Linked DNA regions of Danio rerio. The protein of the gene in region 4 interacts with the protein of the main gene of each other region in a pairwise test. Links are inferred from orthologs where the notes say so. Each region holds a gene or a part of one and is shown on either strand. Other genes may lie near its edges. The genes, in order: hsf2bp, tsga10, alas1, cdc73 and tfcp2.

Evidence for each region.
Region 1: the proteins of cdc73 (region 4) and hsf2bp interact in binary tests that used the Homo sapiens proteins (3 or more experiments, as listed by UniProt). The link is inferred for Danio rerio from reciprocal best matches to the Homo sapiens genes CDC73 and HSF2BP.
Region 2: the proteins of cdc73 (region 4) and tsga10 interact in binary tests that used the Homo sapiens proteins (3 or more experiments, as listed by UniProt). The two-hybrid records come from large-scale screens. The link is inferred for Danio rerio from reciprocal best matches to the Homo sapiens genes CDC73 and TSGA10.
Region 3: the proteins of cdc73 (region 4) and alas1 interact in a two-hybrid assay, tested with the Homo sapiens proteins (3 studies listed by BioGRID and IntAct). The two-hybrid records come from large-scale screens. The link is inferred for Danio rerio from reciprocal best matches to the Homo sapiens genes CDC73 and ALAS1.
Region 5: the proteins of cdc73 (region 4) and tfcp2 interact in binary tests that used the Homo sapiens proteins (3 or more experiments, as listed by UniProt). The two-hybrid records come from large-scale screens. The link is inferred for Danio rerio from reciprocal best matches to the Homo sapiens genes CDC73 and TFCP2.

Annotation. Positions count from the first base shown.
Region 1 is NC_133176.1:32,688,164-32,694,333, forward strand, and holds part of hsf2bp (heat shock factor 2-binding protein), read right to left. Parts: intron 3,389-6,170; coding exon 3,204-3,388; coding exon of another isoform or gene 3,147-3,203; exon of another isoform or gene 2,744-3,146; intron 1-2,743. UniProt on the Homo sapiens protein: Meiotic recombination factor component of recombination bridges involved in meiotic double-strand break repair.
Region 2 is NC_133176.1:52,978,532-52,984,701, reverse strand, and holds part of tsga10 (testis-specific gene 10 protein), read right to left. Parts: intron 6,086-6,170; coding exon 5,917-6,085; intron 5,838-5,916; coding exon 5,727-5,837; intron 5,036-5,726; coding exon 4,850-5,035; intron 4,391-4,849; coding exon 4,223-4,390; intron 2,953-4,222; coding exon 2,750-2,952; intron 2,671-2,749; coding exon 2,566-2,670; intron 1,395-2,565; exon of another isoform or gene 851-1,394; intron 754-850; exon of another isoform or gene 711-753; intron 401-710; exon of another isoform or gene 315-400; intron 142-314; exon of another isoform or gene 9-141; intron 1-8. UniProt on the Homo sapiens protein: Plays a role in spermatogenesis. When overexpressed, prevents nuclear localization of HIF1A.
Region 3 is NC_133186.1:318,875-325,613, forward strand, and holds the start of alas1 (5-aminolevulinate synthase, non-specific, mitochondrial), read right to left. Parts: upstream 4,173-6,739; 5' UTR 4,035-4,172; intron 1,519-4,034; 5' UTR 1,499-1,518; coding exon of another isoform or gene 1,303-1,498; intron 202-1,302; coding exon of another isoform or gene 25-201; intron 1-24.
Region 4 is NC_133177.1:12,422,234-12,428,403, forward strand, and holds part of cdc73 (parafibromin), read left to right. Parts: intron 1-45; coding exon 46-207; intron 208-4,437; coding exon 4,438-4,538; intron 4,539-4,618; coding exon 4,619-4,760; coding exon of another isoform or gene 4,761-4,770; exon of another isoform or gene 4,771-4,994; intron 4,995-6,170.
Region 5 is NC_133198.1:36,627,895-36,634,064, forward strand, and holds part of tfcp2 (alpha-globin transcription factor CP2), read right to left. Parts: intron 4,092-6,170; coding exon 3,939-4,091; intron 3,803-3,938; coding exon 3,692-3,802; intron 3,452-3,691; coding exon 3,363-3,451; intron 730-3,362; coding exon 675-729; intron 1-674.

The DNA.
Region 1 (6,170 bases), on a different chromosome or scaffold from region 4:
TGAAACTTTGAAGAGTCAGTGATTGAGGTTTATTTTAGCAAAAAATATCTCAGCAATATAGCCCAGCCTAGTGCAATGCTTCTGGAAACTACATGCTTACAACAAAGACTTCATCGGCCGTTTGTTAAAGGAAGGACCAGAAAAGAGAACTGATGGACGGGACTATGTCAGAACATGGATCAGTGAATCATGAATCAGTTTCTTCCTCCATATCACAAGTGTAAGTATATGTGATTAAAATTGAAAACGCGACGCATGCTGCTTTGTTTACGGATCATCAGCTGTTCCTACACACATGCAACGGTGAAGTTTCAAAATAGTTCAACTCAGGTTCGAGGTGAGTTGTCTAAATTGCACCCAGCAAGCTGAACTGGTGCTCTAGGCGAACGGCGATCACACCGCCCCAACCCGAAAGTGCATTCTCTGTTTTTGAATGTTTTGGTGTTGTGTCCTCTGTGGAGGAAGGTAATGTGTGTGTGTGTGTGTGTGTGTGTGTGTGTGTGTGTGTGTGTGTGTGTGTGTGTGTGTGTGTGTGTGTGTGTTGATCTCCTCGCCAGTTCTTAGAGTTTTTGCTCAATAAAATAGTTACTCGTCTGTATTTTCAAGTCCATCGTCTGTATTTACATTCACCCACTGGCAGCCAAAATTCACGCCTTACACTATAAAGCGTGTTTGCACTCTGACTACTTCTATATTGTTGATTAGCTGCTGGACATTTCACTCTGTCTCGTGCTGAAGGTTGTCAGTGTTAACCAATCGCAGTAGGCTGTCATCAGGCCAATCAATGCAGATAAGCTTCGTGCTAAGGAGGGGTTTGGGAACAAATGAATCACTGAACGATTCAAATGGGAGTCGCTGGGATAATTAGCTAAAAATAAATGCAGATTATAAGACCATGCAAGCGTTTTTTGACCTTGCATGCATATTAAACTGTTGTTAGAGACCCTTACAACCAAAATATTACCCTAATTCATGTATAATAGGGGCTCTTTAAGTAAATAATAATAAGATTGGATACTTTAGACTCTCTGTGTTGCCGAATTTATTTGAGTTTTGTTTTTATAATTATTTTAAAGTATGTGTGTGTATAATTTTGATATGCAAATTTTTTTACAATTATTTGAAACTTAAAAAAACTTTGTCTTTAACCTTATATTATTGTAGCCTTGTATATCAGAAGTCAAGTAATAAATTGATAAATCAGGTTATTTGTTTATTTTTTTATTATTACTACAGGTTTGGAATAACATGAGGATTAGTGCTGAACAATTTTACATTTTTTTGCTTTGGATGGAGTTTGTTAATTAATTAATTTATATTGTTTTTTTTTATTAGATATGTGATAAATGTAGGCAGTTGCTTAAATGTTGTCAAACTCCGTTCCTGGAGGGCTGCAGCCAGCAGAGTTTAGTTCTCACTCTGCTTCAACATTACCTGTAGACTTCTAATAAGCCTCAATTAGTTTGATCAGGTGTGTTTGCTGTCAAAACAATAAAATACATGTGTCTGAAGAATTTATATGCTTTCTAATTTAATACCACTTCAGAATACTGATTTATAGTAACACTACAATAACTCTAAATGACATACCATTAATGTGTATGCAGTATGATGCTGTGAGTTGTAACACTATAGTACAGTAAGTAACTGTAAGCAGTTTCCAGTTAGTTGCTGCTACTGCTCTATTACAGTAACTGAAAGCACTGTTGCCAGCTACTCACTCTAATGGTTAAGTTACAGTAATTAGTAAGTTACAGTGTTGCCAGTTAGTCACTGTTATGGTTTAATTACATTAATTCACTGTCAACACTGGTGCCTGTTACTCACTGTAACCAAACCATTACAGTGAGTAGCTGGCAACAGAGTTGCCAGTATTATACTGTATAAAAGCCTGGTAAGGGCTAACAGTGTGGATAAATCACTTTTTTCAGAACTTAAAACTTCAGTAAATTCTTAATAGATTTGTTTAACATAACAAACCGTTTTGTTGTCAATGCAACCAAAAAAATGCAATGTGTATGTATTTCAATATAAATTATATATTTTTCATTTTATGATTGAGTAATTTTGATGAATAAATATGAGTAAATTGTGGTTGATTAGCTTAAATTAGAAAAGAACTTTTGACTAATAATATTAAAATCATCATCTATCACTCAAAAAAATTAACAAATTTTCACCTGATTTATTCAAGTAGGTTTTGCTGAAAAAAATCAAGTCTTGAAAACTACATGATTTTTAAGTAAATAGTAGATAAGAATTTTTTACAGTGTATGCTGGTGTTTACTGCATTGATTTAATGAATTTCTCCTTGCACTGAACCAACTGGATCATCAGAACAATCACCACAGATTAGTGTCATGCAAAGGAGTTGAGAAAAAATGAATTGCAAAATAAATCATATGGAAGTCTTTGGGTTAATTAGGTAAACAAAAATGAATATTTTGTAAAAATAAAAGTGTTTTTTGGCATTGTATGCATATCAGCATGTTGTTGGAAACCCCCAAAACCAAAATACGACCATTTATAATGCACAATAAGGGCTCTTTGATTAGCAGTAGTTTGGTTGTTTTAATTATTTATTCATTTTTGCGCAAGTATGAACATTTTTACAAATATAGCCTCTATTTGTAGTGATAAAATCTGTACTGACAAGGGGACTAGAGATACCTACTTTCACCATAGTAAAAAAGTATCTTATCAAAAATCAATGGTATAATTTTTTGTCTTCTCTATCAAAGACCCTATGTTCATGTCTCATAAAATGTTTTATGACCTTAGCTTTATTTCGAAAGAATTACCTAATTTCACCAATATTATATACACAACAGTATTATGCAATTTAAAGTAAAGTTTTTTAAGATGTACAGATGAACTTATCTGATTATCAGATTAAAGAAAAAAAAAACTTTTTGTGTATAACCTGAAAGATAATGTACCAACATGGAAAAGACTTTATACAATATAAGTAGATTGAAAACTGGTTATTTGTCAACAAAAGAAGCTTAAAATTGCTTCAGTTTTGTTGAAAATCCCTTATTAGGTTTCTTTGGTTGATTACACCAGGAACATGGGCAACTGTCATGGCATGGACAAGTAATCTAATCTAGACCCATAGAGTCTAAATTAAACCTAGACTGCCCTTTTTAATCCAAACACTGCTCCTTCTCTGTGAATGTAGTTTGGGAGTTTGTAAAACTAACCAGATCTTCCAGTGTCTCCTGGGCTGTTTGTTTGAGAGTGGGATGGCAGCTTGAAACTAGATGGTTGATACGACTGAGGGGGAAAGAGCGTCGAAAGTCAGTAGCCATGCCAGGCATGATTTCTCTTTCCAGTATTAAAGACTGAAGGAGCCTCAATGACTGCAGGCACACTTCTGGATCAGGGTCTGTGAGAGGAAGAAAACACATTTCGTTTTATCTCAAGAGGCTAGAGAGCATCATAGACTACTGTAGCCACAACATCAAACCCGAAACTGTGTTCTATCTTACCAGACAATGCTAGATCAAGGGATAAAACATATTTTTGTCCTCTTTCCTAATCAGCGACTTTGAGCTACTGATTATGTGATTTATTTAATATTAAATTGTAACATATAAAGCTGAACATTTTGAAAATTTTTACATGAAAAATACACCAACTACATTTTGCGAGCTGAGGTGCTTATATTAATTTTCTCAGACATATCAAAATAAGTGTACAAAGTAAGTACATACACACACACACACACAAACAAATATTTAAAAGGAGGAGAGACAGCAGTGGAAGACGAGAGAGGACCAGGGGCCTCATGTACGAAGACTTGCGTTGAATTCATACTAAAACATTGCATACGTAAAAAGCTGTCACTGTGTGTACGCAGTAAAAAAATCAGATGTATGAAACACTGCGTACACGTAATCCCACGCATAATCTCTTTGTACAATTTGGGGCACGTGTAGATTTTTAAATAAACTACTTGCAATACCTAAGTACAAAATTTTTTGAATACTTTTTAAACCAAAATTTCAAAACCATAATGCCCTTTTTGAAAAAACTTCTTTGACACAAGCTGTATTTTGTGAACTGTTACTGCAAAACTACACACAAATGTATCAGATTGAGCTTAGTTAGCACACAAAGAAGAAGAAGGAAAAAAAGTAGAAGAGGTCAAAGACACCAGAGAGGTGGAGAAAGAGGAGAAGAGAGAGGAAAAAGAACAAGAACAAAAAAAGGTCAAGGATGCCAGAGTGGTGGTGGAGGAGAAGGAAGAGAAGAGGTCAAGGACACCAGAGTGGTAGTGGAAATGAGAAAGAGAAGAAAATGAGGAGGAGGAAGAAGAAGAGGTCAAAAACACCAAAGTGATGGCAGAAGAGGAAGAAGAGAAGAAGAGGTCAGAGACACCCGAGTGGTGGAATAGGAGAAAAAAAAGAGGAATAAGAAAAAGAGGTAAAAGACACCAGAGTGGTTGAGGAAAAAGAGAATAAGAAGGAGAGGAGGAGGGAAGAAGAAGAAGAGGTAAAGGAAACATAAGTGGTGATGAAGGAGGAGGACAAAGAAGAAGTCAAAGACATTAGAGTGGTGGCACAAGAGGAGAAAAGGAGAAGGAAGAAGAAAAAGAAGAGGAAGAAGAAAACGAAGGAGAGGGGGGAAAAGACGAAGAAGAGGAGATCAAGGACATCAGAGTGGTGCTGGAAAAGGAGAAGTAAGAGAAGAAGAGATAAAAGACACCAGTGGTGGCTAAAGAGAAGAAGAAGAGGAGGACGAGGGAGAAAAGAGAAGACGAAAAATAAGAAGTCAAAGACACCAGAGTGGTGGCAGAAGAGCAGAAGGAGAGAAGGAAAGCGAAGAGGGCAAGGACCCCAGAGTGGTGGTGGAAAAGGAGAAAGAAAAGAGGAGGAAGAAGAAGAAGAGGTCAAAAGCACCAGAGTGGTGGTGGTAGAGGAAGAAGAGAAGAAGAAAAGGTCAGAGTGGTGGTGGAAGAGGAGGAGTAGAAGAAGAAAAAGAGATCATCGGCTGTATCTCAATATGCATTCTTGTCTGTACTTGCGACCTTGTGTCCTCGTGAAATGTCATCAAACGTCACCGAAGTACTATTCCAGTTTAAAGTTGACATTTTGCCAAGTACAGATAAAAATCCCGGATGTGTGCTAGCTCTGCCCCTTTTTCCAAGGATGCTTCGAGAGGTGACTTGTGGGAACTTACAAAGCACAGGTGTCCCTGAATGCATTGCAGCGTAACCAGCAAATGCTAATGGTGGGGAGAAAACCCGCACAGTTTTAAAATGCTCGTTTGTTGTGTTACAAATTTAAGTTTTAAGAGTTTTTCAGGCGAGAATATAGTTGCTTTAAACTCAAATCTGCAGTGTATTTCTAAATATAGCACGTCTTGTGCTATCTTTAGAAAATTAAATTCACATTTACAGTGATTTATGTTTACATTTTCTTAAATCAAAAATCTACATTTATAATATTAATGGAATCATTTTATTTTTAATGCACAGTGAAACCGATGAATCCATGGAGAGGTAAGTGATGTTATAAAGTACACTGCTGTTCCATTTGAAGAAGTACCCAGCATGGGTCTTCGCGTCCTCTGTACTTCGCTTTTCCAAGTCTGAACTTTTAAGGACGCAAGTCCGAACTTTGGGTACTTGTATTGAGAAACAGCCAAAGACACCAGTGGAGGTGGAACAGGAGAAGAAGAAGACGAGGAGGAAGAAAAAGAAGAAGAGGAAGAGTAGGAAGGGAAGTAGAAGAAGAGGTCAAAAACACCAGAGTGGTTGCGGTAGAAGAGAAGAAGGAGAGGAGGAAGAGAAGTAGAAGAAGAGGTCAAGGACACCCAAGTGGTGTTGGGGGAGGAGAACGAAGAAGAAGTCAACGACACCACAGTGGTGGTGGAAGAGGAGGAGAAGAAGTCAAAGACATCAGATTGGACTACCACCATGCCATTCTAGGACCCTAAAACACTCTGCTCCTCCTTGCTTTCGTTGATGGTCTAAGAGAGCATATGTTCCAACTGGATTACAGAAAACCAGCACAGCCTCACTACATTACTGTTTGCAATAGCATCAGCTTTTTCCGTGCTGCTCTGGTTCATGACTGGTTCCTTAATAACCCAACGTTTTCGGACATCTTACTGCCTGCATACTCTCACTTTCTAAACCTAAAAAGGGGAGTTTTTTCGCCATG
Region 2 (6,170 bases), on a different chromosome or scaffold from region 4:
TTTAACAGCCACAGTTCTCTATACAATAACACAAGACCCTGTGACGGTGGCTGATTAGAGACGGATGGTGTATTTCCAGAGTTGGTGAAATGACCAAGCACACCTTCTTGGTCATATGTGGTAATAATAATAATAATGAAGGTATGTTTGATAAAGTTCTGTATTTGTTTCACAAGCTGAGAGGGTATTAGAGCATTAAAGAATAATGAATGACATGAAGGTGATAAGTTTTGTATTGTGGGTAAACTGTTACTTAAATAATGTTTTGCTCTTTACTTTGCACTTTTCCTCTTCTGCTTATCCTAATATTTTAGGTTATATTTGGACCTGAAACATCTGCTAGACTCCAGTAAAGGTGGCCTCAATACTGGACCTGAAAGGGCCTAACAAGTTGAATCTGGTAAAGAAACACGCACGCACACACACGCACGCACGCACGCACACGCTTACAGAAAACTGTTGTTTATGAAGTTTATGAATATTTTTTACACTGTGGCCAATATTTTGGGGAAGTCAGCATCACTAAATTATATAAAAGATTTTAAGCTCCTCTAAATTTTGCTCCAAGTGTTGTGTTAAATTCAGGATTCTGGACAGACAGCTGCCTGTTTTTCCAGTTCTAGTCATAGTGGTTAACCTAATTGTTTTTGGAGATCCAACAGTGATGTATGTGTTTTTTCTACTTTTCCATATCCTGTCACCTCAACCAGCTGGGAGAGTCAAGTTGTGGATCATCATGAAGATTTTCAAAAGGTGAGTTTAGATTTCTTGAATGTTTTATTTACTTTAAATGTTCTTTTAAATATATCATAGAATTTGATTGCAATTTGTTTTCAAACATTTTTCTTAGTCATGCTGGAGTCTTGAAGAGTTCTTAGATGAGCATCACCCTATATCCGTGCATCAGGAACCACCAGACGAGCGATCAGCAGCTGCTACATCGTCATGGATAAAAAGGTCATCCTGTGGCTGGGAAGCACTTCATTCACAGGACATGCTTGATGAAATTTCATAGCTCCAGTTTGTTTTTACACAAGTTTACAGCATTTATACCTTCATTTAAACTGCTGTGTTTAATATGGAGGACCAAGGAAACACCAGAAGTGAAAGATTTACAAGCCAAGTTGTTTAAAATGTAATTTCAGAAGAAAACTATGAGTTCAGAAGTAAACTATGAGTGACGATATATTGAACTTTCAAATTGCTCTGATAACACATCAAGTTTGGACCAAAGGACTGAAACAGCCTTTTTGAGCACTGGTCATACATATTTTGTTGATACTGTCTGTACTAATAAAACATTTAAAGTATATTTGACATTGTTGCATTTTAAAAACTGAATGAATTGTTGAAGTGGTGAATGTTTTCAAATAAAATGTTTTTTTATTTTGTAATTTACAGTCTATTTGACCTTTTTACCATATTTACACTCAAGAGAGTTGAATAAAATAACAATATATTACACCAGGCGGTGTTAAATATAGTTACATTTTTTAACTCTGCCCAGAGTTAAAATTAACCCTTACTTCGGTGTCAATGTGCCAACCCTTTTGAAAGTGTTGATTTAACTTTGTTTTGAGTGGACCCCATGAGACACTTTCAAAGTGTTGAAATTAACACCCATAGAGTTGTTTTGGGTCCCCATATTTTGCTGTGTACTTGGCTCGCATACTGATTTTAGCGTACTATATAGTATGGAAGTATGCAGTTTCGGATGCAGCAAATATCCACTTGTTAAGTGGTGACATGTTTGTGACGTATGTAATATTGTTTCCGGGTCCAAGCCGCCATTCATTTGAGTGGAGAAATCATTCGTTTATGATCACGTTTTTTTCCTATCACACATTAAAGTTGATTTTATATAAAGTCACAGTGTACACAACAATCTCTGGGCTTGCTGCATAACAAATACCAAAAATTTAACAATTTCTAAAAAAATTAACCACTTTCTGGCCATCGGATATTAGGCATGGACATATATACTGCGATCGTGATTTACGAAAGTATTTAATCGTTTTGTAAACGTTTATTATTACCATTTCATGAGTCTCCCTATTCAGTTGAATACTGCGCTTGGACCAGGAAGCCGCTTCGCATGACGTCACACTTAACAAGCGGATTGGAAAGGGTGGGCGGGGCTTTCTTTGTACGCATCATTCTCCTGTAGTAAGGACAATCAGTAGAGGCTCATTCACACCGGACACGTCTTTGCTTCTAAAAATGCATGACGTGGCACTTAGGCATTAGTTTTAAAAAAGTATTGTGAGCAGAGCTTAATTTGTGCCGGAGCAAGCCGGATCCGGATCCGGCACCTCATTTTACCGATCCCCCTCCTCACAGGCACCCGCTCTTCACTGTCTTTCGCGGCTCTTCAACCCTCTCCACTTTCGGCAGCGATAACACCCCCTCTGCTCTTCACTTTTTTCCACGACAAAACTATCTTTTTTTCCAGTCGATTAACTTGTGCGGATTAATTATTCACCTAAAGAATAATAATGTGATCTAGCAAAGTAATACATCGTACATTTTGATTTCACACAAACTTTATCTCTTTATGTGTCTCACCTTTCGAAGCGTTCAGTAGACAGATGTCTCTTGGTCATCTCCAGATCTGCCTCCAGCTGGCATGATCGTGTCTTCAGCTGAGCCATTTCTCTGCTCTGAGAATTCCTAAAGACGTTAAAAAAACAGTAGTTGAAAGGATGAAATAAAACAAGGGAAAAAGCATAAGTGTGTGTACTAAACTCACGCTTTACTGTCAGCCATGCTAAGTTTGTCCTTAAGGATTTCTATTTCAGTCTGTCTTTCCTGAGAGGTGAGTTGCCTCTGTAGCTCTTTTTCTCTTGTGGACACCAGCAGGCTCTCCAGAGTCTGTACAGACAGACGTTCACTGGTCAGCTGCTTCTGTAACAGCTCGATCTCAGAGCAGCAGGATTCCAGCTCACGCTGCACCTGCACAAGCACATTCACAAAAGTGAGGAAATGTTTGCATTTCAGTTTAGTGTATGAAAAATCTTTAAGACAATAAACTTTAAATTAGGTTTGTAAAATGTTTGTTGTCAAACTTTGGTGTTGGTTTGACAACACTGCTTGAATTAGCATTTTAATTTTAATTAATTAACATGTTTCTAGAATGAATTAACTCGTAGTAAGCATGTTTTAACCATTAATTAGGATGTTGCTAGCAATCATTTGAAAGTTGCTAGCATGTTCTAGTATGTAAGAACATTGTTCATAGGAATCAGCTTGCTGTTACTGAGAATTTGCATCTTGCTAGCATGTTCCTAACATGTTTTATGACATGAATTGGCATCCTTTTAACATTAATTAGGACTTTGCTACAAGAATTAGCATGTTGTTAGAATGCTCTAGTGTGTTACAATATTGGCAATATGAATCAGCTTGCTGTTACAGAGAATTGACATATTGATAGCATGTTTCTAGCATGTTTTATAACAAATTAGAATGTCATTAAACAAGTTTTTAACATGAATTAGGTTATGTTTTATAACAAATTAACATGTAGTTAGCAAGTTTTAACATGAATTAGCATGTTGATACCATTAATTTGCAAGTTGCTAGCGTGTTCTAATATGCAAGAACATTGTTGATAGAAATGAGCTTGCTGTTACTGATAATTTGCATGCTGCATGGCATGTTTTTAACATAATTTCTAACATGAATTAGCATGTTTTAACATTAATTAGGATGTTGCTAACAAGAATTAGCATGTTCTTAGAATGCTTTAGTGTGTTACAATATTGGCAATATAAATCAGCCTGCTGTTACTGAGAATTGACATGTTTCTAGCATGTTTTATAACACATTAACATGTAGTTAGCATGTTTAACATGAATTATGATGTTGCTAGCAATAATTTGCAAGTGGCTAGCATGTTCTAATATGCAAGGAGATTGTTCATAGAAATCAGCTTGTTGTTACTGAGAATTTGCATGTTGATAGCATGTTTCTAGCATGAATTAGAATGTTGGCCATCACACGGGCCATCATATCTAAAGGGAAAATTTTAAATTGTAGGTAAAAGCAAGGTCTTATTAAATATATATAGCACTCAGCTAAAGTCTAATAGCAGTGGATGTGTTGAAAGTGAATAATGTGTTTTCCAGTTCTGCTCGTGTTGCAGTTGTTGAATTGACAAGCAGGTAATATTAAAAAAGAGCATTTTCCTGGCAGACTCATTTAATCCCGCCTGAACACTCACAGCGTCTTTGCTGGCATCCAGTTTGACACAGAGCTCTCGTGTTTTTTCCAGGTCGGCCTGTGCCTGCGTGTGCTCAGCCCGCGCCTGACACAGATCCTCCTCCATGTGAATCATCTTTCGGTTTAACTGAGACAGCTGACTAGTGCAGCTTCTCTCCGCACTCAGTGCCTGGACAAACATCGACAAAACACACTTAATGACAGACTGTCTTAACTTAACAGCACTAGACTGAGGAGCGCTGGCAACATGGGTTGTGCTTGACAGACTTTAGCCTTATTGTGATTGTTTGGCCTAAAGCATTTATCATTCATTGGTTTTCTTCAGCTTTAGTCTCTATTTCAGGAGTCACCACAGCGGAATGAACCACCAACTGATCCAGCATATGTTTTATGCAGCAGATGCCCTTCCAGAACTGGGAAACACCCATACACACTCACTCATTTACACACACTCATACACTACGGCCAATTTAGTTTCTTCTGTTCACCTACATCGCATGTCTTTGGACTGAGGGGGAAACCGGGGCACCTGGAGGAAACCCACGTGAACATGAGGAGAACATGCAAACTCCGCACAGAAATGGCTCAGAGAGGACTCAAACCAGCGACATCACTTTAACCAGCTGACCTGTTGGAGTCTGTTCTCCAGACTGTCTGCTCTTTCTTTGAGTCGAAGTATCTCCGAATTAGCATTGTGAAGCTCAAGACGGAGTTCGATGACTGTGGTTTCAGCGCGTCTGGCCTGGTCCTCCCAGCTTTCCACCAGAATAGACTCTTTCCTTCGAGACTCTTGCAGTTCTCTACACTCACGCTCCTGGAGGACAGCAAACAAGATTGCTATTTTGATCATGATAACAAACATTTTTTCCCAAATTTTATCCTTGTTCCAAACCAATTTAAAAGTCCCATGAAATTAAAACAAAGTTTTTTTTAGATGTTAGCGACAGTCTGTTAGATTTATGGATATCTATTAGTTAGTGGGCTCCAAAACAGTGACAAACTTCGTGTTTAGAAGACCTAAACATCCAAAGCTTGCAGTTTGTCACTTCCGCCTTAATGGTTCAACAATGTATTTGACATCATCTCATACTTGAATTTTTCATCAAATCTTGACCAATCAAATGCTTTCTAGTATCTGACATGCTCCGCCCCTTCAAGTCACTTTGCTTTTCATTTGATGTGTTTGATCTCAACCACTCTCACTGATAGGGCTGTGATAAATTGAAACACCATTGGCTGTCTTGTTTTTAAACAGGAGGAGCTACTCTATGTCCCGCCCCTTTTTCATCTTTTAGTTGAGATTATGTCAAACGTTGAGTAACAAATGCACAATTTAAAGCACTTCACAAAGTTTTTTTTTCTTTAGAACACAAGAGAAAATATTTTGAAAAATGTTGGAAACCTGTAACTATTGTCTTTTATAGAATTTTTTTTTATTACCATGATTTTTTATTACCCATAAATTGACATTTTTGGGTGATCTGTTCCTTTAAGAGACTCATCACCTTGGCAGACAGCAGATCTTCAGTACGTGAGATGTCTGCGATGTGATCTTGTACTTTTTTCTGCAAGTCCTCTATTTCCAGATTCGCTTCATCCAGCTTGAACTTTAGAGTCTGAAATGAAAGTAAACTTCAGGTCTTGGTATCTTATTTAATAGAATGCCGTTGCGTACAATTGTTTGGTGTAGAGCACCTGATTTTCCTGATGTGCTCTGTCAAGATCGTCTCTCAGCTGACCGTTTTCTTGTGACGCTTCATCTTTGACTTTCATCAGCGTGTCCATCTCTTTCTCAGAGTCTGACAACTTCCTTTTCAAGACATCCAGCTCTCTTTCTTTGCCTGATATGGTGTCTCTTAAAGCTCTGCAGACATGACGTCACACTGTTATTACTCACTTCCTTCATTGATCAAGGGTTACCAAATGGGAATGAACCGCCAACTTATCCA
Region 3 (6,739 bases), on a different chromosome or scaffold from region 4:
AGGGGTTAAAGCAGCTCCTCAAACCTTTCTGCACGGTGCGAACTTCAGAAACATCCTCCTGGAGAGCCATGCTGGCCTGCCGGACCACACCGCTGTTCTTCTGGCTCATCTCTGCTGCCAGAAACGGGCATTTAGAGGCGGAGGCATGCCCGGCTGCAGGAGCAGGGTGACCAGCGGGCACTGCAGGAGCATCACTGGCTTCTGAATAAAAAATAAATAAATAAAAAAAAAAAAGAGGAGATTCATCAGCATAAATGAGTTTACCCTATTTTGAAATGGAATATTTTATACATCTCTTAAAGAATATCGACAATATATATTCATAGATTTGAACAAAACTTAACATATTGATTAAAGTCATATTTTAGTCATTGAACATCTTTAAAAATATCAAGATAATGCATTTAAATGTGCGCTAAATTTAGCCAAAATGTAATGTAATGTATTTTTTATTTAGTGCCATGTCAGCAACCAAGGCTATCTTCATGGCAGGAATCTTTCAACAATAAATATACAATTTAAAAATCAACAAACAAAATAAAACATAAATTAAATAAGATTTTTTGTGTTAATACATGATAAAAATTCTAAAATCTTTTCGGGTGTTACTTTGTCAAAAATGTCCTTAAAAGAGTTAATTTCATAAAAAGTCCTTCTGGAATCAGTAAAAGCAGGACAGTCCAGTAAAATATGCTTTACAGTAAGATGAGTTTTGCAATACAAACACTGAGTAGGGTTTTCACCTTGGAGCAAAAAACCATGTGTTATTCTCGTATGCCCAATACGACATCTGGTAAAAACTACTTGATCAAATCGATTCTTAAAATGTCTTAAAATTCTGTGTGAAACTTCAGGTTGGATTTCATGTAAAATTTAGCCAAAAAAAGAACATATCAATTTGGGATACTAATTTTTAGGCTGTTTTTTTGGCTCCAGATTTGGCTTCAGCACAGACTAATTCAATGTATCTGCATAAATATTTTACTGTAAAGCATTCTGTAGACAAGATCAGTTTAAATGCGAGATTTGTGAGGGGTGAACGCATGTATGACACAGTCACAGGTCTTTAAAACACATCCAAATAAAACTCTTTCACTGTTAAACTCCCCAAATCACATGCTCTGAACGGTGCTTTCTGAATAATTATAATCCCAACATTGGAGATTCTGTGACGTGGCTATTGCAGACTCGTACATCACGATATCGATGCTGAAACCATATATTGCGCAGCCTTATCATGCAGTTTTATATTTAAATAATGACGTTTCTACAATTTTTCCCTTATAACAGCACGTGACTGACCATGTCCGGCCGCAGAGGAGTCTTCCACCTTCTGGAAGCTGGCGCTAGAGGAGCAGAGCGGGCGCAGCAGGGGTCTGGAGGCCAGATCCATCATCACAGGACACTTCACCGCATACGCCACCAGAGACTTCCTGGCTTGCTGGAGGAACGTCTGCGGGACGCGGGACAGGAATGGGCAGCGAATGATGGCGTCCATAGCTGACGGTTCAGTGAGGTCTGGAAAACACAGAACAGAGAGCAGGTTAATTACAACTGACTGATTACACAGTGCACTGTCATGGTGATTAACAGCCGGCCGGTGTGAAGGGTTACTGTCACTTTCACATGACTGGAACTGAGCCACAACCTCAGTACTGAGAGTTCAAAAACACACACACACACACACACACACACACACACACACACACACACACACACACACACACACACACACACACACACACACACACACACACACACACACACACACACACACACACACACACAAACAAACAAACAAACAAACAAACACACACAAACACACACAAACAAACAAACACACACAAACAAACAAACACACACAAACAAACACACACACACACACACGTTCGTATATCTCGGTACAGCTGTAGTGATGTTTGTTCTGTACAGTGTGTGTGTATTCTCTCGTCTCCCTCTAAACTCAACGCTCACAGCACACACTCTGCACTTCTACATCTCTAAACACTTCATTCTGTCTGATTTATGAGCATATTTACTTAATTTGGGGCCCTACGGTGACAATTCCCTCAGAGTCTGTGTGCATTCTAGGCATGAGATGATAACCGGTTACAAGGTTTACTGCGGTCTGGAAAAGTCTCGGTATTAAAACCGCACAAATGTTTTTTATACCGTTTCTAAGGTATATGTAGAGTTTTTTTATGTGTTGTAAGGAAATCTGTTTTGAAGATTTTTGAAGATAAAAAAGATTGTAGAAGTCAATGGTTTATTTTAATTATGTAGCCTGACATGTTTACGGTTCCAAAATAATATAAATGTTTCCTAAAATGTAATATATTGTGTTAATTGGGGAAAAAAGTTGTTGTTTTTGACTAAGACAAAATAAAAATAAATGATTATACAGCAGTAAATCACATTACCATTGAGGGAATATAAATTTATATTCCATAGTAATGCAAAGTGTCAGTCTCACAGCACGGCTGTGTCACTTGTTTTCTCTTTTCGGTCAACTGGTCAGGCGGTTTCTGTCTCCAGAACATGATGAGATCAGACCTGAAAAGGCAGTTTACCCTGCCGACAACAACACTTCATTTGCATGCTCGGTTTAGCCATCTCCCCTCATCCTAAGAACACATTATAGACAAAACAGCTTTATCTCAAATCAGACTTGTGATAGAACTTCCAGATTGCAGACCTCCAGTAGGCTCCTGCAGACACTGGGACTTCTTGAAGACGCTGTATGAATGCAGATTAACCAACACGTCTAATGTTGTTATGAAGTCATATTTACATGCCATTTCACACCCAATATGTAAATATGTAAAGCAGTGTAATAAACAACACGTTAAACTAATGTGCGAATATAAAACATACTTTACCGCCTCAACATTAGACACACACACACACACACACACAGTACACTAATACTCCTTAAAGCTGTGTGTGAGCACTCAAACTCAAATCACAGTAAGCCCATTCCACACAGATTTACAGCTGCTCTCAGCTCAGCCCTCATCATCATCATCATCATCATCATCGATACTCATTGAGGTCAAGTTGGTTTTATATTCTCACATGTATTCAGTGGTTCCCTCCCTATATTGTTTACCATGGTACTTTGAATGTTAGGTCAAAATTGGATGTAAGGATCAGACTGTAAACAATGCTGTACTCTGATAGCCATTGGCTGATTATATGATTTCACCATTTAGAATGAGCAAAGAACACTTTTCTGATATTAAATTATTAAAGAGAATGTCCAAATGTGTGAATTTAAAACCAACTTTCCCTCAATCCCATACTCATACGAGTTAAAACAGCAGAAACTGTTTTTATATTCGCACATTCAGACTTTCTCCTTCACAATCTCATTTCAGAAAAGTATTATCAAATTCTAAATAGGGGAATCATATCAGCAGTCAATGACCATCAAAGTGCATTCCAGCATTATTCACGGTCAATTAAACAGTGCTAATGTTGTTTTAGAATTCATATTTAAATGCTCTTTCAGACTCGATATTCAAAATAGAGTGGTAAACAATATAGAGAGCATTAAATGACCCAATGTGTGAAAATAAAACCAACTTGACCTCATTAATTCCTGATGAAGTCAGAGAACAGCGCCGACAGTGACTCACCGATACTGTCAGCTCACCTGCCGGGAAACAGCTGACTTACACACGGAAACTAAACCTCACGTTACACTAACAGTTCACTACTCTGCTACATTACAAATCAATATAGTACAGTACAGTACAGTAATTTAACCTACCGGCTAATGTTAAGAGTTATGATTTCTGCGTCACGTGACGTAACGTTAGCAAACCTGACAGGAACCTGAGGCGTTTTAGCTAAATTTGCTAAATGTACATTAAAAACGACCATCGTATCCTCTACTGAACTCTCTCTACCTTTAATAAGATATAAAACATAAATAAATGCAGATGTACAGTTAATCTGTGGAGTCTTCAGAGGTCAACAGTTAGAAAGCCGCATGATTAAACGCGCCGCGACCTCTAATGAACGCGCCTCACCTCAGTTTCCTCCGAGATCGCGGGTGTGTTCTGTTGGTATCGCTGTCCGGTGGTCGGTTGTTAGTGTTATGCCGTCTCTGGCCTGTTTTCTCAGCCGTAATGAGCGATGTGCGTCGTTATCCTGCACTGAGGACGAACGAGAGGGCGAGCGGCGCTCCGGGATTATATCGCACCAGCGGCCGCAGATCTCGCGATCTTTACGTCAGCAGCCGCGAGGACACGCCTCTCCTTCCGCGCAAACTATGGCGACACCGGTTGTTGCTAGAAGAGATACAGCTGCGGCGAGAAATGAAGTTAACGAGAATTGTATTTTATAAACGTCTACCTTAACCCTCACATTAATGTAAAAACAGTAATTACACCGAGACGAATCATATTGTTTTTTAAACTACCCATTAAATAGTATTTTATTAACGCCTAACCCAACCCTCACGTAAACAGTAGTATACTGAGTTCGTATTGTTTATTAAATGACCCATTAATTGTATTTACAAACTTCTACACCTACCCCAGCCCTCACAGTAATGTAAAATATGAATTATTGTTGTACAGGGTGGGTCATAAAAAGTATGAGTAACCGCAGCTGTATCCCTTCTAGACTGCACCGCCTCAAACCCTGAGCACACGAGGCGGATAATTCCCAGATTGATCAACACGTGTGTTGTGATCAGTATGATACATGTGTCCTCGTGTTTGTTTATGTCATTAATATGAGGAAACTACACCAGAAAGTCAAAGGAAGTGTATAGACGCGCCCTGCTACAGGAATAGCCCAGACATAACTCAGAGTAAAAACAACAGGACTGTTTCCTTAAAGTTTTCAGGGTCAGTTCACACACAAATGTAAATCCCACCATCATTTTCTCATCCTCCACCTCATCAAACCTGTTTATGTCTTCTGTTCAACACAAAGGAAGATATTCTGAAGAATGCTGGAAGATATGTCTGTTCTATTGGAGTCAGCTTTTCCAGCATTATTATATTTGTGTTCAACAGAAGAAAGAAATCATTAAAGTTTACAGCCACTAATAAAGAAACAGCGAAGAACTATTGAGGAAATGTTCGTTTTCAGTTGGTGAACTACTCTGTCCCATTATAAATGAAGCTATAAACTAGATGAACACACTTCTCTTACATGCACTTTGTTGATTTAGAGATTTTTTATAAGTTATAAATATGTAAAATATGTAAATATATAAGCAGGTTTAATAGTTATAATATGTTTAAAAGTGAGATAAAACTGAGGCACATGAAATTCACTTTTAAGTTTTTGTTTTGAATTTGTGTCTGTAAATAAAACCATAATAAACTATTATTGCACAAGTTATACACTATATGCTCATTACACATATATAATTATACACATTTTGCACTGAGCCATAGACATTATTTGCCTGATTAAAAGCTATATTATAGTTCTGTTCCACAATAAATGTTTTAATAAATATTTTTTGTTGGTTTATTTGCAAATTTTCCATCTCTTTGCAGTATTTTCTAAATTATAAAGAGTGATGCAAAAGAGACATATGGAAAATCAGCTGTAAAATAATCAAACAGGAATTTTTGACTTCCTTCATTGTTCAGATGTTTGCACATTTTGACTTATTTGCAGATGTAAACAACATTTTAGAAATGAGTTGTAATGCAAAAACCACTATGGTAATAGTTCATTTATTAGCAGTAGTAGCAGTAATAATAACAATTATTATTATTTATTTTTTACCTACAGTGTATTGTCTAAAGCAGTGGTTCTCAAACTGTGGTACATGTACACTACTGGTACAGGGGCTTATATCTAGTGGTACGTGGAGGAATCACTGAGTAATGAATGGAAAATTGAATCCTATTTTAATCATTTGATGTGTACGATAATGTTCACATATCGTGTCATTTCTACATGCAAGTTTGTTATTTATAATGAAGACGCAAGCAGCATGATGCACTTTCGTATTCCAGGTGTGCCCAGTTAAAACATCTTTTCAGAATGCCGCACCGCGAGTCACGTAACAAGAACTGACCGATCAGCTTCATATTTTGTATGGAATATACATTATATATTATATATATAACATATAATATTGTCAGCTTGAGATCCTCTGAGAAAAACCGGTTCCCCTGTCTACATACAAGTTAATATTTAGATTTTCAAAAGTTTTACAAATATGTCACATGTACATGCAACGTATATGTCATAATTTATTAAAAATTGTATTAACATGAATATGACTCTGTCTCGTTTTTGAACTGTGCAGTGCTGGAGCTGCTTGATTTGGCCTACTACACTGCTTTATTTCTATACTGGTCATCATGGTGGTACCTGGAGAGACTATTGTTTTCTGAGGTGGTATTTGGTGAAAAAAGTTTGAGCACCACTGCTCTAAAGTCTATTAAATACTGTAGTGTTTTCAAACCACACGATAGTAAAGTGTATTATATTGTAGTGTCTCTTTGTTAATCAATGCTCCAGCATAGTGTTTACTAGAGTGATAATAAATACTGTAGTGTACTTTAGTGTTTACTACAGTCAACTGTGGTGTAGTGCAGTATAATATACCCTATAGTTGTAGAAAGCTACAGTACTGGCTCATTTGTTTACATTATCATAGTTGTTGTGTTACCATAGCAACTGTAGAATCACCACAACAGATCAATTAAATGTCTTTACTACAGTATACCTACTATAAATGCCTGCAGTGTTTTTCATG
Region 4 (6,170 bases):
ACTACAATGTGTTTTCAAGAACTCATGAAAGTGTTTTTTCTGGAGGTTTGTCACATCAGAGGAAAAGAAGAAGCAGGGCATTCAGAGGGACAACGAAGTTCTTCTACAGAGACGTAAAGATCAGGTCCAACCTGGCGGTGCCACGCTCAGCGTCACTGTACCCTACAGAGTGATCGACCAGCCACTCAAACTGGCCCCGCAGGACTGGTGCGTCCATCTTTCACTTACTAATTTCACATACATGTATCAACTAATTTAATGGATCCTTTTTTAGACATTGTTCATCAGTACTCATGGCACTGTTCTTTTTTTTTTGTCCTTTGTTTGGGTGTAAAAAAAGTTTATTTTAGAGCAGAATCCTGTCATTGAACATCCCCACACAGCCTAATCTGCTTAGATGAATATGATAATATGCGCCAAACAACAAAAATGCACAATAAAAATAAGACCGCAGTGAAAGAACCACAGTTAAGATAGCATCTGATCACAATGATTCTGTTTGCTTAAGCTCTGCAATTCAGCACTCTAGAGCTGCACGATTCTGGCTAAAATGGGAACTGCGATTTATTTATTTATTTTTTATTTTTTGCTTAATATAAAGATTACAATTTTCCCACCATTTTGTAGATGTAAAATAAAGCTTAATATGAGATTTTGTTTTTTCTCAAACATATGGTAAAACAACAATATTAATATTATGTGTAGGCCTCCTGGCTTCTATAAATAATTCTATTCTACTTATAATAATTCTGATGTTTGAATTATGTTTGAGATTTATGCTTGCAATTTGTCATTGACAACATTATTAGACCATTTTATTCTATGGTAAAATCAACATTATATAGGCTTGAGTAGTTATACTGACACTGTTAAACATTTATTTTCATGCACAACTCTGTTCACTATGAAAGGAAAAAAACATATCAAATACTTGTCGCAATCATAACTCTAAAATGCGAGATGATTATTTAAATGAAGTGCACGCTTTCAGTTTCATTTTCACTGCTAAGTGCTGTTCATACTTCGCGCGTGGCTCTCAAACAATCACTCTGTGCCACAAACTGTATATTATTTACAACTGTATTACCTGTTACGCACAGCATATGCAGGTTCTGTTTACTAAAGTAGAGGTATGCGCGTATATCATTAAGTAGGGTGCGCGTCCGCACAGTCAGCAGCTACGTCACGTGATTTCCCGGCCACGAAAACAGCATAATATGTAGACAAAAATGACAATTTTAGGTGAATTATACTTTATAAATACTGTTTTTGACTATTTTAACATCATTTAGAGGTGTCCATGTTCCTGAGCAATGTGCGCGAAACAATGAAAAGACTTTTGCAGCCTCCTTTGCTTCTCTCCTGAACTTGAAAATATGATTAACAAAATCGTAGAAATGCTGAATTAAGATTGTCTAGGAGTCTAATCGAGATCGAAAATTTTTTCGATTAATTGTGCAGCTCTAGATCACGCGTTTATCACTTATCATAACAAATCCTGTTTTGCCTTGTTTTGAGTACAATGTTAGTTTTTACTGTAAGTCAGCTCTCCAGTGTTTGTTTTTACTTTACAACATTTGTCTCAAATTTGATTCTTGGATGGCCGCAAGCCAGTGACTTTTTTGCTGTGAGGTGACAGCACTACCTACTTTCCAGATTGTCAATTCAAATTTAATTGAACCCTTTGTTTGTTTGCTTTATTGTTAAAAGCTATTTTTTTAAATTAAACGGTGTAAATTAATCCGATTTTGGCTAAATGTATATATCGTCACCCAACAATGCTTTGCTGAGACTTATGCAAATCAAGTCAAAGGCAGATTCTGCTTGACCAGTGTATTCAGCATTGAACTCCACTGAGTTATAAATGTGATTGTTTGTTTTTATTGCAATAAGTTATCATTTTAAATGTTAAACTGCATTAGTTAATACAAGTTGTCATAAAAAAATTGTGAAAAACTAGTACCGTTTTCTATTTATTTTGAAATATTAAGAAATAAATAAGGAAATTACCCATGGCAACTTTAATGTAACATAGCTTGGTATAAATACCTTCTGCCCATGGCTCTCAGTGATATTTGGTTTTTGGTCCTTCATATAAAAAAAGTTTGGGCACCCCCCTGCTCTAGAATTTCTGACTTTGATGGATGGAACCAAGGAACTGTTTTTTTTCACAACAGTGCAGAGGCACAACTACTAACTGTGTATTAGTACAGACTAATGAGATCCTGAGGTTTAAGGGCCAAATTATACTCGTCCATATTGTTCACTTTAAGGCCCAATCCCAATTCTATTTTTGTACCCCTACCCCTACTCCATCCCCATGGCCCTTACAACCAAGGCTTAAGAGGAAGGGCTTCAAAATTTACCCATAAGTATTGGGACAGCACTACACCACCTGCACACATCATCATATGTCCTCGCAATTTCTTGCTTCAATATGAGATCAGATGATTGCGACTGCCAGAGTGATTTCAGTTGTGTTATTTTTTTGGCATTGAAATTAATAAATTAATATGCTCAAAATTAGTAATTATAGGGTTTTCTCTTTAAGGGGGTCTTTCTAAACTTATCATCAGCAGAGATAAAAAGACCTGTAATGGGTGTGATAGACAAATGCGACATCCAAAAGTGTTGATGGTCCTCTTGGAATGTGATTGAGAAACACTCCAAAACTACTGGAGACTATTAAGCAGGTGTTGGAGGTGGTTGGAGCTAAACTCTTCAGAGCTGTGGCCCTCCAGGAGTTAAATAAAGATATTTATAAAATGTATAAATAAATATGCTCAAAATCAGTAATTATAGGTCTTTTTTTTTTTTAAGTTGACTGTCGTGCAATGGACAGTTTAAAGGGATAGTTCACTCAAATGAAAAATAACTCGCTGTTTTCACTATATCAAGTGGTTCCAAAAAGCAAAAACAAATACTATGGAAGTCAATGGTTTGTTACAGGTTATTGGAATTTTTCTAAACATCATCTTTTGTGTTTAACAAAAGAAAAAAACTCAAACAGGTTTGAAACAAGTTATGGGAGAACTATCTCTTTAAATCTGTTTAACCCTTAAAGACCTAGACGTATTTTGTGGGCACCTAATGGGCCTATATTATTATTATTTTTTAAAAGCAGTTTTATTGTTATTTTAGCAGTCAGCCTCAAGTGTTATATATTATTTTAAACAGGAGAACCTGAAGCTTCAATCTGTATCATTTAAAGGTTCAGTCTAAAACATTTTTTGGTCCAAAAACATATGAACAGACAGAAAATATTTTTTTTAAATAGTTTTTAAAAAAGTGGCATTTTCTAGTTATTACAAACAAAACCTCGTGAAGTTTTTTTTTTCTTTCTTTTAGAAATACACGCTATGATGTTTTATACTTCCAAAATAAATTTTGTCTACATCCACCTTTCCTTGAGCAAGTTATAGCAATTTATTTCAATGTTATTCTAAGGCTTTTTTCAGTGCATTTATTTACTGACAATGTATTTGCCCAAAAGTTCTGGAAATGAACTAAAAACAGAAAGATTGTTACAAAATAACAGAACACTGAAGCAAGTTTGACTTTTTTCAAATAATATATTTTCAGTTCCCATAAACAACACCACTTACAATGAACAAATAAAAAATAAGAAAACAAGAAATAATGCGTCAAAGTCCAAATAAACATGGTGCAAATCCTCAGTAAAATTTTTTTTATATAAATATTGACTATACTACACATAGTTACATAACTAAACTAGATTCAATATGGACCATCCTTAGGTTTTATGTGCCAGCATGAATATGGTGTTGACCCTGCTGTCTCTCAACTTTTGCGTTGCAGACAAACAGTCGCACTGCCATTTGCGTCCTTTGAAAACTGCAAGACCATCACTTCGTCTTTGCTGTGTCACTGTTTTGTCATGTTTTAGTGCTGTTGTGCATGCAAAAGTACTTAGTATGAGAATTATTTAATGCAAAACTTTTTTTTTTTTTTTTGCGATTATTTAGCCGTGCGTAAATGTACAGCCTATTTCTCATTCCGGGTTGTTCTAATAGCTGATTGCTGGTCCACAAAGCGAAACCTATGCTTATTGGTTGAGAGAGAGCGAGTTTGAACCAATCTGGGCATGGAGGAGGGACAATGTATCAATGCATCATGTCTGGTTTGTCCGAGCGTTCCTTTGTGAAATCAGAGGTGTCAAAATGTGATGACGTAACCACACTGATTTCGGAGCCTCCGAAGGTCCGTCAATGTAATGTTTTACAGCGATGGAAAGCTCTCTTCTTTATGCCAGTCTTTAAACTGTACTGATCGGATCAGCGGATTAAAAGTTATTAAACATTTAAGAACAGTACTTATTTTTAGCCACAGGCGGCTGTTTCAGTCTTTAAGGGTTAATGGTACATACGAGCACAGGCCACAATCAGTCAGTTTAAGACTGTTGTTGTTTGTACACAGGGATCGTGTTGTGGCGGTCTTCGTTCAGGGTCCTGCCTGGCAGTTCAAGGGCTGGCCGTGGCTACTGCCCGATGGATCCCCAGTGGACATATTTGCCAAAAGTGAGTTTGGTCTGAACATTACACAACAAAGATTATACAGAGGATATAGTGAGCTTCATGCCATGTTTATGCGTTTTTAGTTCGAGCCTTTCACCTGAAGTACGATGAGGCACGGATGGACCCAAACGTGCAGAAGTGGGACGTGACTGTGCTGGAGCTGAGCCACCACAAACGACACTTGGACCGGCCCGTCTTCCTGCGCTTCTGGGAAACACTTGACAGGTCAGGATGAAATGTGAAATGTTTTTTTGTTATGAAATTTTAGCGCTTCCATAACAATAAACAAATTTTTGTGTATTTTTCTGGCTGCCAACAGATATCTCAATGTAATGATATCTTACAAATCATTAATACTAATAAATGATTTTTTCGTAGATGATAGATATCACACGCACACACACACCCATTCTTAGAAAAGGAATGGCATTCATTTCAAATAAAAGCAGATGCACTCCACCTGTTATGTCTCTTTGGAAAATGTGGTTTGTCAAGCTGCAGTGATTTAGTAGTTGTGAAATGTGAAAGAATGTAGCTGACCTGTTTCATCATGGTCACACTGTTTTAATGTACAATTCTCACTAATAACAAGCCATTACCTATGAATTTGACCTCAAATTTCTAATTGGCTGCTTGTTAATAGTTAGGGAGTAGTTGGGTTTAGGTATTTCGTAGGATTAGGGATGTTGAACTATATTAGGGGTGTCATTCTGTGTAATCTAGAATAATCTTAAGGCACAGTCCTATTTGCATTTAATGCAACAGTCAACAAAACAGCACAATTTGGATCGAATCCTTAAAGGGCAGTTGCAAAGAGTTAAAAAAAAATGTTTGGGTATTCTGAAACTTCATGTACACACTGGGATATCAGAGGCTTTTTTTTGTTATTTGTTTTTTTTTACATTTTGTAAAAAGGAGCTAAATAATAGGTCCCCTTTTATTATAGGCAGGCATGTAATAAGCTACTAGTTATAATGAGAATTACTCCCTCTACTAAATGGTTTCCTTAATTATTAAAGGGCCATTTTCACAGAGCCAAAACAAACACACAGGCGCAGGGGAGAAAGATAGTGACCGCATTTACATGGACATCAGTAATTGAATTATTTGCTAAATTATTAATTTGTGGACCATAACTGCAGTTTGGCATGTTCACTTTCATTCAGGAACAAATCATGCATGCCCCATGACAAACGCGATATTGCATGCAAAGAAACTGCTGGAAGAGTGTAGTTTTAATGGAATGTTTGATACCGCATGTTGTATGAGAGAAAAAAAAACTCATTTCTCGGTAACTTAGATGCACTCGGTAGGTAGCATCAGAAAGCTTATTGTGTAGTGTATTTTGTCACAATTTTCAGCAAAAATTCTACACAACGGTAATAGTTTGATTAAGGTGTTTACATGATTACACTCGGGAGTGCATACTTCATCTATAATATGTAGTGAAAATAATGTGTTGTAAACTTAATAACTAAATGGTAATTTTTTAAATACTGTAAGAGTACTGTAGACTAACTAACTTTGCCTCTATATAAACAAACAGTAAAAAAAAGAACACTGATCATACACTTACCAAATCTGTAGAGACAGGATAATCAACACGAAGATGAGTGGCAACTCTGGATTTCACCA
Region 5 (6,170 bases), on a different chromosome or scaffold from region 4:
GCAATGCCATGGTATATCTGTGGCATGCAGATAACAAAACAAAAAAGAAAGAAAAATATAACAAAATTAATATATGTCCTAATACTTAACATACCACCCATTTTGCCCTATGTATTATATACTATTAGTTCTAACAAAAGCTACAAAGGGCACTACATGCTTTGAAATGTGCTAATGAGCATGCAAAGCAACCAAAAAAGCATTCTACAGAATTAATCATAGCAGCTGCCATATTATGAATGGAACAAAGGGTTTTTGATGAACTACTGTAGTTGTCCTGATATTATTAATGTAGATGGAAGCATGGAGCATACCTTATACACAAATACACACACAGCACTACACCTAATTACCATTTCATTCCCAAAACAGCTCAACTACTTAACGAGTGAAGCCAGTATTATTAAATATGAACTAAATCAAACACAAATGCAAATGGAACACAGATAAGAAGCACAAACATAATATTTAAATTAAAGGATAGCATGTAGAATGCAGAAATGTAGGAAAAGAAACATAAGGGAACACTGGGATGCATCTATATTTTGGTTAAAGTCCTAGGCAGTTTGCCTTTCATTTCTCAATGTACATACATTTGTTAAATGATTGTTATTTTATGCCACTGTGAGCAGTGGATATCAGATATGAGAGAGGAAGAAAAAAAATACACATACACTCACATCCGCTAACTGTGCGACAGGCTCTGGCTGGTGACTGGGTGAACCATTTCTGCAAGACAAAACTATGAGTCATTATGGCCATACATAAACATTTAATTATTGCATGTTGCTCCAAAAAAGATAAATGTTTTCATAGTCTATAAAACGATCTATAACCAGGGCTGCATGATACTGGAAAGATCGGATATTACGGTATTTTATTTTTCTGCGATAAATACGTTATTAATGCAGCTTCACACAATAGCTCTATCTGATGGTTTTCTAGGGAGTCTAAGAGTTTTCGGTTACAGAAATCGAATAACCACGAAGCAAAAATTGCTTTTCTTACTTTGTTTTGTCTAGTTTCTAGTTCAAATATAAAAAAAAATCTTGGACCAAGTGAAATATTGGGTAACACTTTATAATAACTGCACACTATGAATCATATACTAAGCATTAGCATCTAGTGAATTCATTATTTGTTAAGCATTAAGCCTGATTTATACTTCTGCGTCAGGTGACCGGCGTAACCCACGGCGCAGGCAACGCGCGTGGCTGTGCATTTATACTTCTGCGCGCTGTCTCTGTCGGTCTGCATTAACACTTCCGAAACGCTAGTTGGCAGTGAGGTGTAAATGTTCCTCTGTGTCGAGTTTCTTCTCTGCTTTTTTGCTTTTCCTGAACACTTCCGGGATGTACAAGTGGCTCAAACTCGCTCATTTTGAGGCAGGAACCGGCGGACGTGCAACAACTTTAACTATGAGGTAAACACAAAACAAAACTTTCCATCCGGAGCTCCTTCACGGGACTCCACACTTGTAAGCAATCGCTCGCGCAATTCGCGCGGCTCTCGGTCCCGCCCAGACTCGTCAGCGCTACCAAGCCGACCAATCACAGAGCTTACGCTACGCGTCGTTGCGACGTGTAGTTAAATTTTTTGAGAGGTGCACGTCAGTGACGGCGATGGCCACGGTGAAGGGCTATGCATCAGCGCCGTAGCATACGCCGACGTTTGACGCAGATGTATAAATCAGCCTTTAACTCCACATTAATGGACGTTAGTAAGCGGTTTATAACTGCAGCTACAAATGCTCTATTCTTGACTTACAAACATTTAAAATGTGCAATTTCATACTTAGTTAATGATTTGTTTTTATTACTAAATTAAGTATCGCACTATTTACAAACCAGTTGTATTAAGGAGTAGTTTAGGGTTTTTAGGAACATTCATTCTACACACAATACCCCATAATGACAATGTGAAAGTGTTGCAAACTTATTAAAAATAAAAAGACCTGGAAAATCACATGTACATAAGTATTTTCAGCCTTTGCTCAATACTTTGTTGATGCACATTTGGCAGCAATTACAGCCTCAAGTCTTTTTGAATATGCTGCCACAAGCTTGGCACACTGTCTTTGGGAATTTTTGTCCATTCTTCTTTGCAGTACCTCTCAAGCTCTATCAGGTTAAATAGAAAGTGATGGTGTACAGCCATTTTCAGATCTCTCCAGAGATCTTTAAATGGATTTAGGTCTGGACTCTGGCTGGGCCACTCAAGGACATTCACAGAGTTGTTGTAAAGCCACTCCATAGATATTTTAGCAGTGTGCGTTGGTTCATTGTCCTGCCAGAAGATGAACCGTCACCCCGGTTTGATGTCCAAAGCACTCTGAAGCAGGTTTCAATTCAGGATGTCTCTGTACATTGCTGCATTCATCTTTCCTACCATCCTGATTAGTCTTCCAGTTCCTGCTGCTAAAAAACATCCCCACTGCATGATGCTGCCACCACCATGCTTCACTGTAGGGATGGTATTAGCCTGGTGATGAGCGGTGTCTGGTTTTCTCCAACATAACCCCTGGCATTCACTCCAAAGAGTTCATTTTTGTCTCATCAGACCAGAGAATTTTCTTTCTTATGGTCTGAGAGTCCTTCAGATGCCTTTTGGCAAATTCCAGGCGTGGAGTGGCTTCCGTCTGACCACTCTACCATACAGGCCTGATTGGTGGATTGCTGCACAGATGGTTGTCCTTCTGTAAGGTTTTTCTGTAACCTCTCTTAGCCTTGTGCCTTGAGACAATCCTGTCTCGGAGGTCTACAGACAATTCCTTTGTCTTCATGCTTGGTTTGTGCTTTGACATGCACTGTCAACCCTGGGACCTTATAGAGACAGGTGTATGCCTTTTCAAATCATGTCCAATCAACTGAATTTACCACAGGTGAACTCCAATTAAGCTGCTGAAACATCTTAAGAATGGTCAGTGGAAACAGAATGTACCTGAGCTCAATTTAGAACTTCACAGCAAAGGCCGTGAATACTGATGTATATGTGATTTTTCAGGTTTTTTTTATTTTTTTATAAATTTGCAATAATTTCAAAAAATCTTTATTTCACATTTTCATTATGGGCTATTGTGTGTAGAATTGAGGAAATAAATTAATTTAATCCATTTTAAAATAAGGTTGTAAGCCTGTAACATAAAAAAATGTGGAAAAAGTGAAGCACTATGAACACTTTCCAGATGCACTGTATCGATGCTGAAAGGATACATTGCACAGCCCTATCTAGAACTACTCTTTTTTTCTTATTCAATATGTTGCTTTGCTTACTATTGTAGCAATGAAGTAAAAAGATTTATTAACAAAAGAAATATTCAGGCATTAAGTAATATTTAGATGATGATGATCATTGTTTCCTACCCTTCGGTAACAGGAAAGCTGTTGTGGGTACTGTTAAATCCAGGAGATGGCGAGTTGTTTACATATGTAGCCTCGGGCCATGGAGAGCACTGGATAAAAACAACACACTTTATATCATCAGGTATTAAAAAAAATACCACAATTTATTTCATTCAAACTGTAATTGACTTAATTTATATTTTTAAATAATATTATTCCAATGGAGGAGATACATTAATAATAATAATATGATGTATTACTAAAAATAACTGCATTAAATATTGTAATAATATTTATTTTTATATATTTACTAAATAAATCTAAAATGATCATAACAAATTAGTTCCAACCTCAGTGAGAATGGTGGTTTCATATGAAGGCTGGTATTTCTCCTTTTCCTGTGGTGCTCGTTTCTCCATTTTTTCGCGGTCTGTTTTCTGCTTTCTGTCTGCACCTTTAGGCTACATACAAAACAAACATCTCGCTTTCTAAGAAGTACATACAAATGGCGCTGCACTGGCGAAACAAGACGTGCATTGAAACAGAGCACAGATATCACATTGTAAATGTTTATCAGCAGCACAGGCCTCAACCCACCTTAAAGACTTTGATTTGGCAGCTGGCGGAGTGCAGATGTTCGGTGTACTCCCCGGCCTCGTTCTCCTTGAAAGTGTCGATTTGAATACGGAATGGCACTCCCTTCTCTCCTCCATGTTTACGCATGGTGAACTCTGTGCTTATACAATGGACCTACATCAAATGTCAAAATAATGAATTACAATGAATGACAACTGAAAAGTTGTTCACAAAATGAAAGTAAATGTTACTCAAAATATTTCAGAATTCACACACTAAGCCAAACATAATGTTTTTTTGGTTATGAATGGAAAAAACAGGCCTCTGTTGTGCTTTCTATTTTTTTAAAAATGATTTTAGCTTGAATGTCACTTCACAAACAATGGATAAAAATGAATCAAATCCAAGGTACTTGTCCAGCATTAAGGACTTTGTGGGCATCAATTTTTAATCAATTTCTGAATGCTTTATTTTAGATATTAAGCCTTGCCCCATAGTAGCATTATTTGGACTTAACCCTACAAATGTTTCCTTGTCATCTACACAATCAAATGCACTCGCCTTCTGTTTAATAATTGCTAAAAGGCTTATAACACTGAACTGGAAAAATCCTTCCCCACCCAGGTATGTACATTGGATGCATGACCTGATGCAGACTATGCAAATAAAAAAATATTAAATATACAGTTTGCTGTATTACAGAAACAAATTTGACACTGTTTGGCAACCTTTCCTCTTACACCTAAAAAATAAAAAAAAACAAATAAATAAATATGTATGTATGTGTGTGTGTGTATGTATGCATGTATATACTGTAACTGACCTATTTTCCCTGCTCCTGGTCTGGATATAAATGGAGAATGTGTTTTATTTATTTATTTGCCACTGCTGTACCCTTTGCATATTTGTATTTATATATTTTCTGTATTCTTGTGTGGCCTAATAGGTGTTACTTTTATCTATAATGTTATTTTTTCTTTCTAATTACGATTATATATACAGTATATATATATTTGTTATTTGTTTTGCGTGTTTTTTAAATTATTTTCCTTAAAGCATGAATATTTAATTGTATTACTTTATTCAGAGAGAAAGAAAATGCGAGCAAATTGTGTTCTGCTGCTACATTGGAGTAGTTGATGTCTAATTATTCTATGTATTTGATGCTGTGGCTCTCTGACTTATATCTTTCAATAAAAACAGAGTTAAACTAAATCTAAGGTACTTACTGTTTACATGGTTTCGAAGTGCTCCCTACCTCTCCCATATTTAAGTTAAGTCTGTCTACTTTTTAACACAAAGTCTTTGAAGCAAATAGATACTTCATTCATCCCAAAGGGAAACTGAAATGCAGTCTAACCATAACCACTTTTGTGATAAAACATGGTAAAGAAAAGTTTATATTTCGAACACTGAAACAAAAATTTAAAGTGACAAACAAAAATCTCTGATATTAAATTAAATGTCTTGGACAAAAATATATAACATTTCCCTGACTTTCAATGTTTGAAATAGACTTTTTTTAATTCGATCACATTCAAGAAATTCTGACCCTTGAGGACCCTGATATTTTCTTTTATTGTTGGAAGTAACAAATAGTGCCCTACGTGTTTGGAAAAATTAGTAAACTATTACTCTTTTGAGTTTTGATTATTTAAAATAAATTTGATTTCTGGCTAAACGTCCCCTTTAAGACTGTAAAACTGTGCTGTATTCCCTGCCATTTTACTGATGACTGCTACAGCAACCTACCCTACAATGCAGGATTTGCTGGCCAATGGCCATTATCAATAAAGGAGGAATCAGTATCAGTACTAAAAACTAGAGATATATGGGGAACTGTCAGACCTTGACAATGGTTGCAAATCCTAAACCATATCTATTTGAACCAGAAAACACAGAAATTAGCCAATTTTCTGGTGCTATGTAATATCAATTGGCAACAAAGTTCCTTGATTATTACACCAGAGTGAGAGTATAGTTCCTAGCTAAATCTGCCAAGAAAATAGCAACTTTTCATTTTCAGTAAGACTTAGTACACGATGAGTGATCATAAAAGATTGTGTTAACTTCCATGTGCAAGCATAGGCATCAATTAAAATACACAGGTCTAATTTCACAGGCAATATGTAGAAAAAGCACATCTTTTTCAAGAAAAGCGCCTTTTGAACATTTACCATAGCTATCTGTATGCTAGATCTGTTCAGATTTATACTGCCGACTGACTCTTTTTCTGCATAATGAGACTGCCAA